Linked DNA regions of Lepisosteus oculatus. The main gene of each other region encodes a partner of the protein of the gene in region 2 in a complex. Links are inferred from orthologs where the notes say so. Each region holds a gene or a part of one and is shown on either strand. Other genes may lie near its edges.

Evidence for each region. Proteins that work in one complex are often made in the same cells at the same time.
Region 1: stx4 (region 2) and sybl1 share a complex: the UniProt entries of both Homo sapiens proteins name them as parts of the SNARE complex. The link is inferred for Lepisosteus oculatus from reciprocal best matches to the Homo sapiens genes STX4 and VAMP7.

What each region holds. Positions count from the first base shown.
Region 1 is NC_090703.1:47,620,183-47,627,811, forward strand, and holds the start of sybl1 (vesicle-associated membrane protein 7), read right to left. Parts: upstream 3,084-7,629; 5' UTR 2,931-3,083; intron 1,285-2,930; 5' UTR 1,160-1,284; coding exon 1,014-1,159; intron 114-1,013; coding exon 56-113; intron 1-55. Other genes in the region: polr1d (DNA-directed RNA polymerases I and III subunit RPAC2), read left to right, coding at 3,561-3,602, 5,454-5,551, 5,911-5,987. UniProt on the Homo sapiens protein: Involved in the targeting and/or fusion of transport vesicles to their target membrane during transport of proteins from the early endosome to the lysosome. Required for heterotypic fusion of late endosomes with lysosomes and homotypic lysosomal fusion.
Region 2 is NC_090699.1:15,298,345-15,306,284, reverse strand, and holds the start of stx4 (syntaxin-4), read right to left. Parts: upstream 3,038-7,940; 5' UTR 2,879-3,037; coding exon 2,849-2,878; intron 1,341-2,848; coding exon 1,227-1,340; intron 523-1,226; coding exon 423-522; intron 1-422. UniProt on the Homo sapiens protein: Plasma membrane t-SNARE that mediates docking of transport vesicles. Necessary for the translocation of SLC2A4 from intracellular vesicles to the plasma membrane.

The DNA.
Region 1 (7,629 bases), on a different chromosome or scaffold from region 2:
GCTGCGGAGGCCGAGGCACAGCTTCGCCGGCCGCGCAGAGGGCAGGGATACTCACATCGTCTGTGATGCACAGGTAAATGATCCTGTCCTGACAGACGTAATGAAAGAGATAGCTGCAAAGAAAGGGGAGAAGGGGAAGTGAAAACAGTGCACGCAGGCAGCCACTCAGGCTTCGTTAGGTAAGCATTGCTGAAGCGGAAACTGAAAGACAGCTGTCCACGCTCCTCAAGAGGCAGCTTGGAGAAGCTCTTGTTTCTGGCTGATCCACGCAGCGCCGTTCCAGCTTGGAATTAAAAACCAGGGTGAATATTAAATTCACTTTTTTGAGTATGCATTTGAGCCATCCGTTACTCTTGGTTTTGAATTATTCACAGAGCCCCGTGAGGATTGCGCTACGTGGAAAAAAATGGTCTTAAGGTGCCCGAGTGGGAAAAAGGCACTTGCAGGCTGAGCTCTGTGATCCAGACCGGGAGATGGAACCAGCTGGCTGTGACTGGACTCCCCAGCAGGTGGCACGCAGTTGCCTGAGCACCAAGTGGGGTGGGGGTGGGATGATTCGGGCCCAGGAGAAACAGCGACCCCTGCAGGCCTGTGGTGACGCCCAGGAAGGGCGCGCGCCTCTCCTCCAATCGAGGCGGTACCTGCTGTACGTTATGGCCGAGTCTACAGCGGGTGGGTAGGGCTGGAGAAACCTTCCAGCACTTTCTCACTGTCCTTGTATGGGGTCACCACAGTGGGCTGAGTCTTAGGAACAGCTAACCTAATCGTAAAAGGTAGTTAGTTAGGCATAACAACACAACTGGCAACTCCAAATTGGGCAGATATAGGATAAGAAGCAATTGACAATGAAAACAATGCTCCTAAGGTGTTAGGCTTAGGGAAGTGATCAAGCAAGAGTGCTTTTCCAATCCCAGCAGAGGGCTGTTGCACTCCCCAAAAGTCAAGTTTTGCAAGCTGGCAGCCAGACACTCGGAACAGAGCCCCCTGGTGGCCGGCACGGGAGGGACACTCACTTGCTGTGGGAGTAGGTCAGCTTGTTGTTCTCCGACGGGATCTTGGCCAGGATCTGCTCCGTCACCTCCAGGAAGTTCCCGCCACACCAGGCGTGCTTGGCCAGGATCGTGGTGCCGCGCGCCACCACCGCAAACAGGATCGCCATGGCAACAGGAGCAGGAGGAGGGGTGATGAGGACGGGGGGGGGCTTGCGGAGGAGAAACCACTGGGAAGCAGCCCGCAAGCGTGCGAGTGGGGTGGGAGCACGGAAAGCGAGGCTGGGGCACTTGACTGCATCAGAGACACAAGACAGAAGGAGAAAGGTGTGAGGGTAAGATAAGATAAGATCACTTTATTGGCATATACAATTAGGAATTTGGCCATTAGGCATTAGGAATGTGTCTTTTCGCATACCCCAACTTGCTCTCCATGAGACACACAGACAGGGAGAGAAGCTTGAGGTCAGAGCGCAGGGTCAGACATTTATACCACGCCCCTGGAGCAGTTGGGGGTTAGGGGCCTTGCTCAGGGTAGGAGTAGGATTCCTCTGCCGGCCACAGGATTTGAACCGGCAACCTTCCAGCCACAGGCGCAGATCCTTAGCCACAGTACCACTGCTCCGCCCTAGTAATGTAGCGCTTTCGGGCTCACGTGGGTATGCGCCCTGCCAGCTGGGGAATCAAACCCGGGCCTCCGGCGTCACAAAACAGGGAAGCAGCCAGTCGAGCTACAGTGAGATCTGCCCCTCCCCATGACCTGCCACTCCCACTACTGCGCTCTGTAGGTTAGAAGCCCTCAAATGTCACCCGAGGCTGACTACCAGCTTCGACAGTCATGAATCGGACTGGCCCCCGGTCCACGGTTCACAGTGCTCACCCAGCACCTGCTTGGGCTCGAGCGCACTAAGCCATTCTACCCCATTGGGTGTGTACTGGGGCACAGGAATGCTCATGTGACACAAGGCATGTGATACAGCTCTGAACACAGCACAGGTACCGACTAGCGGGCCAGTAAACCCTTCCAGCTTCACCTTGGAGGACGGAGGGCAGTGTCTGGCTGCGTGCCACTGTGCACACCGACCGCCCAGGTGCGTGCGGTCGCTGGTCAGGGGGGTATGATCCGACCTGATCCACTTGTATGGATACAAAATTCCATTTGTATGGCTACAGGATTTCCCATACAGCTGTTGAAACAGGCCGGCTACCTTTACAAGCGCATTTGACCGCCGGCTGAGATTAACACCCGTCTCCGGGCTTCAGAGCTGCCCAGTGTAACGCGAACGGAAGACACCGGCCCTGGAATCCCACACCTCAGCTCACTCCGGGCTGCAAACGCACGCTAACTGCCCACCTGCCCCGGGATCCACCGCTCAGCCGCGCGCGCACGCCGGCGACGCCGTGCTAATTTAAACAACACTTTTTCCAATGCACCCCCCCCAAAAAAAACCGTTTGATTTCAGAAATACATGTTCCTGCAAACTATACGTCATTCCGATCCGGAAAGGAGTATTTTAAGTTCCCAAATCGTTTCAGCCCCCCGTCTTGTAACCACAAGAGCCGATTTCACCATCAGCTCTTCACCATGTAGCTGGAACAGACCGTGTTAACAGTCTCACACTGACTGTTCAACAGTGTCGGTTACACTGCGGTACCACTTTAAGCCGCGTTATCTGCCAGAGCTCGGAACATGAATTACCTTAGAATAAGAGCATATTCTAAAGTCTATTTCAATAGCTCCTAAACGACCTCCGCTGTGTTTTAGACAGCCCGCGTGGACCCCCCAAAAGCTCTTCTAACATGATTTTGTCAGCTTTCTCTTTCAATTCTGGAGACCTCTATACACACAGACACCTCCGTTTCTCCGACATGTCATACGCCGTAGATTGCAACGATACAGCCGTCGTAACACACCGCCATTAATCGTGCCCCGTACTGTACCTCTGAATCGCCTTCCGTGAAAACTACCTTCGGAACGGCCCTCTTTAAAATAAAAAACAGCGTATATTTCCGTAATCCTTCCCGTCCGTACGTATGTTTTTAATTCCCAGTTCTGAGTCACCTGGTGCTCCTCTGACGGACCACTTTCGTCTGTCCCTTGGAATCATGGGGCTTGTAGTTTACAACCTCTGCTGCGGGAAAAAGACTTTACGGGCTCAAAATATAACATTTGACTCGAAGCTGCCTTTGGAAATTAACTTACTGCAAACAAAACAACACGTAAGGAGCGAGTGAAGCGGTTTTAAAGGCATCATTCGGAAGTTAGAAAAACTTTTAAGTTTGATGTATCCGTTTAAATCAGTTCACTCTAATCCCCGTTTGTATTCTCTGGGACGACAAGGTTCTTGTTTTAGAAGGTTTTTTTAACTATGTAACTGTAAGTCGATTTTAAAAAGTGGATTTTACAATCGATGTAACATTGTTTCACTGTGCCTTGGCAGTAAACATTTTAGAAACGAGACAATCTAAGAAGGCGTCCGTGTAGTGGAATTCCACTACATTACCCACATTTCCTTGCGCTGCCCTGTCTAATACGTCACATTGGTGCGCCAAAGGAGATCGGTAACAAGCATGGCCACCGGTGAGGATGAGAAGAGACCTGTGCTGGAAGTGGTGAGTACTGTTCTGAGTGACCGTTTAAATGAAAATGCGATAAACTCAATGCACAAGCCCATAGTCTATTTTAGGAGTGGGGTGTGATTTGCGTCTGGTATTTGAAATTAAAATACGGTCACGGCGAACTTGGCATCAACGTGTCTACTCTGGCAATTGTCAGTTGGGGAAATTCTGTGATTTCCTTGAGCGAACCGATTTCGGTGAAAAATCTTACTGAAAGGAGCAGTTGCAGCATCATGTGCAGGGATTTAGCGAGTTTTGTTTCTCCGAAATCTTATCTCATGTCCCATATTTACCGCGCGACTCTCAAAACCCCCCAGAAAACAGACCACTACCTGAGAAAGCAGGGTTTATGGCAGTCCTTGTCTAAGCTAACTGTTCCCGTAGCCTAAAACGGTATACTAGCTATATTTCATATGGCCAGTTGTTCTCTATAACCTACTTAAGCGTCTTGGGAAAAATATCTGAAGGATAAGACGAACAACAAAAATAATTTCGTTATCGGCTGGATAAAATGAAAATGAAGTACGGTTTCTGTCACACTAGGGAGACTTTGTATGTCTGGACAACTTTCCAGACGATGGAGAGTTGTACGCTGCAGAATTATTTCTGTGTGAAATTGTGAAGTTTCTAGAGTGTTTTCATTTTTCTCGGCGATACCACCTTTTACCAGCTAGGGGGCACCCGGAGGTAGTGCTGCCGCTGACCAGCAGATCCTTATAATTGTGATTTCTTCCTGCGATCTGCGGGGATTATCACGTCCACCCAGCTCAAACACCCAGATTTCCCAGTTTCACACAAAAAAGGCTGAATTCCATCTCCCGTTGAAAAAGAGCTGAAGGTATTAAACATGTTTTGTTAGCTGTTTTTGCTTTTAAGTACATAGTGTTCTTTTTTTCCACGTTTCCTAAAAATGACTTGGAATGTTGTCTTGAAAAGTGGGAGCAGGGAATAGAGTTTCTGTAGCTGTCTGGGCAGACAGAGGCCTTCCTGTGAAAAAGACATGCTCCACCACAGGGGATCACAGAGGCCTCACGTGCAGCTCCAGTCAGGCAGGCTAGAGCTGCAGCCAAACCTGAATTCTGCCCTTTCTCTTAGGCCCAGAGGTGCCTCTCTTTCCCTCCTCAAAACCTCATCCTTAATCGCCGCAGTACTCGCTATGAAAGCTTGCTCGCTGCGCTTGTCAGCTTACTACTGGGCTTTCCGTTCCAGCTCCTCGTGAGCCGAAGGAGTCTTCTGGGTATCTCCACAGCCGGGCTCCCCCTTCATCGTGCCCTTCATCGATCGTCCGGCTTGGGAAATTGTGAAGCCTGGTTTTTCGGCTCCTAGCCTTTCATTTCTCTCACTGCTTCAGAGCAGAAATCAAAAAGATTGAATGAATCCGGGTATGAGCCCCGAACAAGGGGTTGATTGGCTGACCAAGGGTTGAGTAAGAGTCATGCCATCAGACAGCGGGGCCACAAGGACAGTGATCGAGACATCCCACCATCAGGGTTTCACACTGCTGCTCGGCACTCTGATTATTAAATGCAGATCCTGGTGCTTTGGGCAAGAGTGTGGCCTTGTTGTCCTGAAAAAGGAGCAGCAGAAGGATCCAAACTGCAAAAATGCCAGGATACAGCAGGATGGGCACTTTATCGTGTATCCCTAAAGTGCGTTAGCCACATTTTGCCCATCTTAAGCAAGGTGACGCCATTTCATTTACACAGACGTGGTCGGCGAACAGACTTCCGCTCAGGATGCGCACACCAGCGCGAGTCGCCTCACCCAGCCTGTTTGCAGGTCGTTTTGGCCGCCTGGTGATTTCCGAGAGGTCCTGATTGCCGCGGTGCCCTTTGTCTTCCGCAGGTGCAGGCGGAGGGCGGGGATGACTCCTGTGTGACGTTTGTGCTGCACGACGAGGACCACACTCTGGGCAATGCCCTGCGCTACATGGTCATGAAAAAGTGAGTTTCCCCTCTCTGTCTGGAGGTCCCGAGTCCTGGTGCACAAGCGCTCTGACAATCGCTTTCAGATATACTGGCCGCTGGCTTTTGTACCGATGGTTTCTTTGGTTTCATATACTGTAATATGTTAACTTGATACATGGCTGAGCTCAAAACAGCTTTTCGGACTTCCGGTATCAAGCACAGCCTTAACGTGTGGGAGACTGCAGCTCTTAAACCCCGGAATGTTTTAAATGGCTGTGCAGTGGAGTATTTCTTCAATTGCATCGACCTCTACGTTTGTCGTGTGTCGCTGTGTTGAAAATAGTCAATGACGTGTTAAAGAGCCGCCGGGTTCATGTGCGTTTTGTGTTGCACAGCCCCGAAGTCGAGTTCTGTGGGTACAGCATCACTCACCCCTCAGAGAGTAAGATTAACTTCCGGATCCAGACACGAGGTGAGTGCCTGTGTGCGTGTGTGCGTGCGTGTGTGATCTCAGACTCCTGACGGGTGACACGGGGACAATCTGAAATTGTAAACAAAAAAACAATTTTCAGATCTGCACGTCGCAAAAAATATCTAGTTTTTGCTTGTGCTCTTAATCCCCTTGCTGTTTCATTTCACCGAAGGCTGGCATGTTAAATCGAAATGGGGGTCCACGAAAATGGACGAAGGCAAATGTGTGTCTCTGGGGGGCTCCCAAACACCACAGCTCCCCCTCATTCGTGGGACGCTCTGTGGCGTGTTTGTTGCAGAGACTTTCCCCACCTGCCAGGAAAGCCCACGAAGACACCGGTTCCTCTGAGCAGCGTGAATCAAGCTTTGTTCTTGGTTATGTGGTAGTCGGCTTTCTTTGTGTGGAGCCCTGTGTTAATATTGGCATCACAAGTGTTTTTGTGTGGATCCAGCCCTTCTCTCTCTCCTTCTGCAGCAGACGGTTATTATCCGCAGAGAGAGATAATGGGGTCTGTTTCCATAGTTGGGAAATGGCTATTTTGGCTTTTTCTTTTTGATGTCCCTGGTGCTCTTCTTGGAGAGGTTGCACAGCAGAGCTGCATGAGCGTGTTTTGGCTGCTCTGCGTACGTGAGCTCCACAGTGACAGCCTGACCGGCCAGAAAAAGGCCTTTCACTGTGTCGCAGTGCCGTGGTCCCTTCAGTCTTTTTTGTTTTGGTGAATAGTTCTGCTCATTTTTATGGAGTGGGGGCAGAATTCAGTTTTTAAAATTAGATTATGAAACGATCCCTGGTGACAGTGTGTAGCCTCGGAGCAGAGCCCTTTTTTCTGGCAGGAAGCCCAGGACCACAGAAACAAAACCGCCTTTTGCTCCTAATTGTATTAGCTGCTTTAGAGGAGCACATTGGAGCAGGAAGAGGGATAATGGGTTTTTAACTGGGGTCCATAGAGGGGCCTCCGTTTTCAATCTGTTACACGCTGGGTTGCAGGAGCCGACCAGCTGTTGTTCCCAGAGTCTGGGAGCAGCGCATTTGTCACAGTTTGTACACCCTTAAGCACCTTCCCCCAGCCCAGCTCCAGAACGATGACCGTCCAAGTAGAAGAGGTCATCTAAAAATACAAAGAACAAGTGTAGAGCATCATGTACCTGCAGAAAGACACAGAGTATAGCTGATCACCTGGTGATCCTGGTCTGCTTTTATTTGTGCAGTGAGTTTTCCCCCCAGCTCTGAGGCTAATTTATGCACAGAAAAACAACATAGTCTTGACTATGTGGCTTTTTTTAAAAGAACAGTCCCAACCCCCGGGTCTGCTGCTCTGGCAGTACATAAAAAAAGCAGGGCAATTATCTGTTAAATGTGCAAAACCCCAGAGCCGACATGGCTGATTGAAGTCTGGTGCTTGTTGTTCAGACAGCTGTGTGAGGAATCTGGCTCCTGCTCTTTCTCTCTCTCTCTCCAGCTCTCTTCTGTCTCGGGAGCTGGTGCTGCCCGTACGGTCCTTCACGGAGACAGGTTTGCAGTTGCAATTGACAAAAGCATTTTATGAGGAACACATGGATATATAGGCTGCAGAGCAAAATGGTACCTGGAGAAAGACCGTTTCAGGGATCTGCGATCTTTGTTCATGACGGGTTGTAATTTT
Region 2 (7,940 bases):
GACGCTGTTTGGTGAAGGGGTAAATAAATTGCTACATCTGTAAATGAGGCATGGCCTACGAATGCATAGCCAAAGGATCCACTCCTGGGTTTTACCAGTGGCAGATATTTGAACCAAGACTGCAGCCTCCAAATGCATAGCAGGTTGATCCAGTTCCAGGTTTTGTAAGCTGCTAAGCTTTTCGACTCCGCCACATGCAACAGCAACTCCGCGAGAGCTGGGCAGACCTTCATCCTGCAGTGCTCATCCCCTAGAACAGAGCACCATGCCGCTCCAGAAACACGTCATCACCGCGCACTGAAAGAAGGACGCTTCACAGGCGCCTTCTGAACCGGAGCTCTGACCATCCGGAAAGGAAGGAGCCGAGTCCCGTTCCGCGTGCAATGTCGCACGGGAGTGTCCCGGGGGAGAAGCTTACTCACTTTCCTCAGGCAGGGCCACTCCCAGTATCGTCCTCTGCTTGACCTCCAGGCTGTTGACCTTCATGGTGAGAGCGGCCAGGCCCTCGTGGATCTCTCTCACCTGCCGGACAGACACGGGGTCCAAGAGGTTAGTGACCGGCGCCCCCACAGGACACGCAGTCCCCCGATTTATTTATAGGGGGCGGTGCTTTTCCGACCCACTGAACGATTCTATCTTCCCAGCATGCCTCAAACGGACAGATCGCTTGTAGGTCTTCCTACACGCACCGGTAACACAGGAAGCCAACACAAGGCAGGTCACAAAAGAGAGGAGGCACATACCCAAGGGGACGTCCACTGGAGGAAATGATTAGTTTCGTTTCGCTACTTTATTGTGCTTTGCGCCCAAGGTTCTTGCGAGGCAGAGACTACTACCAGCTACTGCTCAGCAAGTCAGGCAGAGAAGAGAGACAGGGCTGCGCTGTGTGAACTAAGGGGGGAATTATAGAGAAAACCAGGAGGACGAGCCCAGAGGGATGTATGTACCCAGGACACCAGCCCCACTCCCTACATCGCTCTGCAGAGGATATTTTACGACACACTTTCAACACTGCTCAGCAGGAACTTAAATACATCAATTCTAGTTAAAAGTTCTTCTTGTGACTTTATGGGTTCGTCACACATGGAAACATCAGTGTTGTTCCTGTGGCTGGGATTCCCAGACTGCTCCAGCTTGGATTCAGACCTTCAGGGGTGACCGTCACCGAGGGGACACTAGTCCACCATAGACAGATTCTCATTAACAGGTTCAAGAGTTAAAATTACCTTCTGGAAAAATTCATCGTTCTCATCCTTGGCAGCTTTCTGTGATGTTTTCCCTGTTCCTGGCTTTATCATCAGAGGTCTGCCTTCCTCCTCCTCATCAGAACTCTCCGCCTTCTGCACACAGAGAGAGAGGGGTTCATACAGACACACTGACTGACTGGACACTCCAGTACATTAACACTGCACTGAGAGAGAGGGGTTCATACAGACACACTGACTGACTGGACACTCCAGTACATTAACACTGCACTGAGAGAGAGGGGTTCATACAGACACACTGACTGACTGGACACTCCAGTACATTAACACTGCACTGAGAGAGAGGGGTTCATACAGACACACTGACTGACTGGACACTCCAGTACATTAACACTGCACTGAGAGAGAGGGGTTCATACAGACACACTGACTGGACACTCCAGTACATTAACACTGCACTGAGAGAGAGGGGTTCATACAGACACACTGACTGACTGGACACTCCAGTACATTAACACTGCACTGAGAGAGAGGGGTTCATACAGACACACTGACTGGACACTCCAGTACATTAACACTGCACTGAGAGAGGGATTAATACACTCTTTTACTCACACAGGTGTTGGTATTAATCTGATCTAAGGGGAGTACAACACAGCACTGCAGAGGGAAACCGAAAGCGAGGAGCAACGTTCATCAGTATTTCCACGTTAATACTCTTAGGCTTTATGACAGACTCCAGGGTAGCTCAAGTTGGGACTACTAACACATCCAGAAGAAAATCACCCAAAACAAACAGCACCTTTAATATTAAATTTACCGGTATGCTTGAATATTTAATTCAAAAAGACACTAGGCGTATTAACTCACAACCTCTGTCCGCATACTGCCCAGATTAACCGAGAACCACTGACAGACTGGTACTGTCTGACAGAGGGACACTGTCCGTACTAAGCGCGAGAGACGTTTGGTGGAAAAAACGTGGAGATACTGGGCAGTGGCAGGCGATCATTCAAGTTGACATAAAGACCGTCCCTTGTGGGCGTCCGGGACAAAGTACTCTTATTCCATGCAACAAGTCGAGCTCCTTCGTCCTTTCCGTGTGAAGTTTCGTTTCGGGCTGGACGTCACTGAAGAAGACACCTTCTGTGTGTGTGTGTCAGGAGCCCCCGGACTGCCTGTTGAGGTGGAGCGCTATTTATACACCGGGCAGCCCCGGAGGGGGGTTTGGAGAAACTATTTTTTAAACAGGCCGTCGCTTCTCAGCTCCCGTGTGTTGTTTTCTTAGTGCTTCAGAACATAGCAGAAGATACAACACAGATAACAGGGAACCAGACGATGAGAGGAAGCCCAGATACGCGATTTTAACTGTCTTCCTTCTTTGTCCTTTTAATTTCAACGGGACCTTCACAAATCTATCTTTTATTATTATTATCATGCTTATTTTCCACGATCAGCGCCTCGTCAACGACTGAAGTGCAAAAAAAAAAGGACGAGGGCAAAGCTACCCCCAGCCCTTTCTCGGTGTCGATCGCGACGTAGAAAGTAGCGAGACTGTGTGCCACAACACGCCCAGGGTGCGTGCAAAGCAGACAGCCACCAGCCCGGCTGGCCGAGGGTCGGAGAGACGGGACCGCACTTACATCGCCCAGCTCTCTCGTCCGGTCTCGCATCTCGGCTGCACCCCGACCCCACTCGCATCCAGACCCGACACGGAAAACGGACTTTGCACCCGGGCTCTACGACGGCACGCACTCGACCTCCTCCTGCGCTCCCAGTAAACTTTCCTGCCAGCGGCGCTGCAGCGTGACTCTGCCGGCCAATCACGCCGCCCTCCGGGAGGAAGTCGGGCCCCGCGCATGCGCGGCCGGCCTGCGCAGGGGAGGGCGGGAGCAGGGGGTGGTCTGGGTGTCGCTTATTGTGATTCCTTCGGAATGGAAGTGATTTATTCTCCGGTTGAGAACAATTTAAGGGGGTTTAAACTATCCCTGACCCCTTTCATTAATGACAGTGCGGTAGTCATTCGCGTTGCTCGCTAGGGGGCCCTGGTGTTCCAACTGCAGTTGTTCCCAGAAGAATCATTAACGTCATTCAGCCAACGCAGCACATCACTACTCGGGGCAAAGTGTTTATAGTATTACAATCTAGCGGACTTTATAGATCGATAAAATACATAAATCAGGCGACACAACAGCGAGCACAAAACGGAGCATTTAAAAACTTGGCTCTATCCGAGGAACCGATGTTTCAGTGGTGGTTGCAGTAGTGTTTGGGTGAAACACGAACCAGAGGGCACGAGTGACAGTTGCAAGGAAGCGCATTTAAAATTCAGAGCAGGAGGCAGCATTTTACACAAAGGGTGGTGGGAGTGTGGAACAAGCTGCCCAGCCATGTTGTTGAAGCCGATACCTTGTTTCAGGACACAGCTGTATGAGATCCTGATGATCTCACTCTTCATATACTGTAGATATGCAGTACCAGTACCAGTCAAAGGTACTGTGTGAAACCAGGTTTTTCCATCATTATCTGTAGTTTAAACTGTATAAACTTGTTAATCAACACTTAATATTTAATTACATGATACTGTATGTGAACTTATAATCTTAGGTGAACTGCATTGAAAATGTTAATTTTTCATTTTCAATAAAATGAATACTCAAAGCAAGCAGTCTGAAGCCCAGGTTAATTAAAAGTCAGAAATGTGTATAACACGGTGTTAGCACACTAAAAGAAGTTTGAAATTGTCTTTGTTAGATGTTCCCACAGTTTACTAGCATGTTACCTCATTTACCTTTTGTAAAGACACACGTGATTATTATAAATATAGGGAGCATGGGCAAACGTTTGTCATTCCTGAATGAACATAGCAAAATTTGCTCAGCAAGCAAGGAAGAAACACAGTTTATAATTACTTTAAGAAATGAAAGTCAATCTTTAAGACAAATTGCAAGAACAAATTGCTAGTGTCAGTAACTGCTGTGGCCAAGACTATCAAACGATATGAAGAATCTGGCACTCAGGAGGACCGAAAAAGATCAGGCAGGCCAAAGGTGACCTCAGAATCAGAGAATACGTTCATTAGAGTCACAAGTCTGCCAAACTGGCGACTAACTGACCCTGAAATACAGGCTGAGCTCAGTGCAACTAGAAGACCAGATGTTTCAGAGGAGTTCACCTGTTCAGAGGAGGTTGCGTGAAGCTGGCCTCAAAGGTCCATTTTCTGTGTTTTTTGGCCCAGGCAGGTCTCTTCTTCTTATTCTGCACTCTTAACAAGGGTGTCTTTGCAGCAGTCTTCCTGGTAGGCCAGCGTCACACCGCCGCCTCTGAAAATGATCCAAAACGATCCTTTGCTTTGAGACTGTGTGTTTTTGTTTTTGCAAATTGAAGTGTGCTTTTCCTTCTAACGCTCGGTGTCACTTCACATCATTAATAAACCAGGCCAGTTTGTGGGTCAGCAGTTCCCACCGTGTTTCTGTTAACTACTGCGCACACACAGTATTTATCACTGCCCAGATCCACTGATCTTCAGATCTGGGGCTCTTGGCAGGACCAGGAAAGTGCTACAGAGTTGCAGCCTTCAGAGTTTTAGCCTTGCAGTTTTCAGCCCAGCCAGATCAATCAGTGAAAATCCATCTGTCACCCTCTTCCAAACTACAGTAACACATCTTTATTGATTCATGACGCAAAGTGAAAATACAATCTTTAGCGATTTCTTGTTCTTTTAAAAAAGCTGTACTGTATATATGATCATTAATGTTTTTAATTTGTGCCTGTTCCTGTTTTTAAGCTAAGGTTATTACTGTCGTTTTGAATGGAAGAGTTTACATTAAAACAGATGAGATGGAGAAAATAGTTTTATCTGAAATACTCCCATGCACACGATTCCTACGTCGAAAATACTCCAGTCCACACGATTCTTATATAGAAAATACTCCAGTCCACACGATTAATATATCCAAAATACTCCAGTCCACCCTATTCCTATATCTGAAATACTCCAGTGCACACAATTCCTACATCTGAAATACTCCAGTCCCAAGATTCTTATATCCAAAATACTCCAGTCCACATGATTCTGATATCGAAAATACTAAAGTCTACACAATTCTTATATCGAAAATACTCCAGTCCACACAATTCTTATATCCAAAATACTTATCCAAAATACTTAGTGCATATATTCCCTGTATCTGAAAAACTCCAGTCCACACTATCCCTATATCTGAGATACTCCAGTCCACACTATTCCTGTATCTGAAATAGTCCAGTCCACACACTTAATTCCCAAGTCTCCACCCGTGTCATCAGATGGTGCAGACACCACACCTGTCGTGAGGTTCTTACTTGTTAACAGTGCAGGTGTAGTCGAACAGCAGACAAGCTGTGTGTTTAGAGCGCCATCTGCTGGGATAGCCTGACTCTCTTTCTCACCCTAACCTTGGCTGGAAACTTCATCCTTCACCTGTCAAATTCAGATCTTTCTTGACATGAGTGATGAATTACAGTGCCGCCAAAGTACTACCCATTATTAGGCTGTGACAGGAGATCACACACAGGACTGCAGCTCTGCTGCATTTCCTCCCTCAGTACAGGACTGGGAGCTGTTCCTGTTCTGCCAGCTGATGGAATTCTTAGATTATTTTAGGGAAGAATGTATACTACTAGAGTATTTCTTGTAGTGCTGCAGAAAGTGCATCTCCTCTTCTGTTTTGCCTTGCTGTCCTCTCTAGGCAGCCAGGCCTGTCTGTGTCCAGTTTCCATGTCCAGTCTGTGTTCACTGAGCCTGTCCTCCCTGGACAGCCAGGTCTGTATGTGTCCAGTTTCCATGTCCAGTCTGTGGTCACTGGGCCTGTCTTCTCTAGATAGCCAGGTCTGCCTGTGTCCAGTTTCTATGTCCAGACTGTGGTCACTGAGCCTGTCCTCTCTGGACAGCCAGCTCTGCAGGTGTATTAGGCAGACCAGAGAAAAGCCCTGTACTCCGTCCTCTGGGAACGCAGCATGGACAGAGCAGTCCTGGCCCTTGTTCTGTTGGCAGGCAGCAGAGTTCCAGAGGGAAGAGAGCCAGCATCCTTGATTATAAATCAGTGTTTCCCCCAGAATACCTCTGGATATTCGATTTGAGCTTTGGCAGCGACTGAGGAACTGTTGCAAACTGCAGGCACACAGAACGACCTGGCTCCCAGCCCTGGTGACTTTCTATATTTTAATCTAGCAGGGGATTAATACGGGCTGAGGAAGATGATGACGAAGATGATGGAGATGCTGTACTTAATATATATGTATCTACAGTCTATGGAGAGTGAGACAGAAAAGGGGCGTGTGTGCTTCATCAGGTAGAGATACGAGAGAGTCAGGGGGCTAATGGAGGTGATGGCGACAGGAAGATGAGCCAATCAATCAATCCACCAACCAATTCATCAATCCATCCGTGTTTTTGACAGTTTTATCCAGTTCAAGGCCGCAGGGGAGCCAGAGCCTATTCCTGCAAGCCCAGGTGACGGGCTCGAGCACGGTCCACCCTGTCCATCACGGGACAGACAGACACAGGCTCACACCCGGGCCGGTTTTCCCAGAAGCCAATTCAGCTCCCAGCGTGCCTCTGGACTGCGGGAGGAAACCGGCGCACCAGGAGGAGACCCACACGAGCACGGGGAGAAGGGCACTGGCCGCCCTCACTGGGGGGACCCTGATGGCCCTCGGCCCGCAGTCAGCTCTGGCAGGATCTCCTGCTGCAGAGGCGATGGGGGTGACCAGCCCACGAACGTGAGAGCCCAGACTGACAGCAGAGTGCACCGTGGGACACGGCGCGCTTGAGGAAGCTACAGTGCTTCACTGAGACATCTTTCATGTCTTCTAGCCCATCGGCTCTCAGTCCTAATCCTGGGGGACGGCTCACCGATTCACTCTCACTCTCACCTATGATCTGAACCTCACAGTGCCTTCTTCCTTTCTTTCTTACCAAAAACTCAAACACACATTGAAAATCTACCTCTACCTCACATGTCAAAAGCTCACTCCCAATCATTTCTATCCCTTTATTTTCTTCTGTTGATGCATATTTTTGCACATACCCTGTTACCTTTTTGTTGTTTTGCACATTGCCTGTTGTTGTTTTTTGCACATCGTGTGTTGTTGTTGTTTTGCACATTGCCTGTTGTTGTTTTTTTGCACATCGTCTGTTGTTGTTTTTTGCACACTGCCTGTTGTCTCTGTCTTTCTTTTGCTACACAATTGTATTGTTGTTGTTGTTTTTCTCTTTGTACTACTTATGTCCGAGAGCTAGCTAAATAGCATTTCGTTATACCCTATACCATGTATATGAGTGTAATGACAATTAACTTGAAACTTGAACCGATGACTTCAGCTGGATTGTTCATTGCAGGCTAACTGATTCCAGCTTTCCTACTGCGGCGCCATTTGAACGTTTTTCGGAATCTCCCGAAGTGCCGGATGGGAGCGGTCGGCAAGCGGAACCGGGCCTGGGTCGAAGCCGGAACATTCAGAACCGCCCTCAGTGGCGTGTGTGAGCTGAATCGGACCAGCGGGACTGGAACAAAAAAAGGAAAGCGCCCGGTGTTGACACAGCGTCGTTCCCAGTCTCTGCCTCCTCATCGCCAACCGGTCTCCTGCTCTGAGCTGTTGAGGGAAATATACGAGTCCTTCATTTTCATTCTTTGCTGATTAGGCTCTGTTCTCAACAAGCTGCAATATGTTCAGACCTCTGCAGCTGAACTG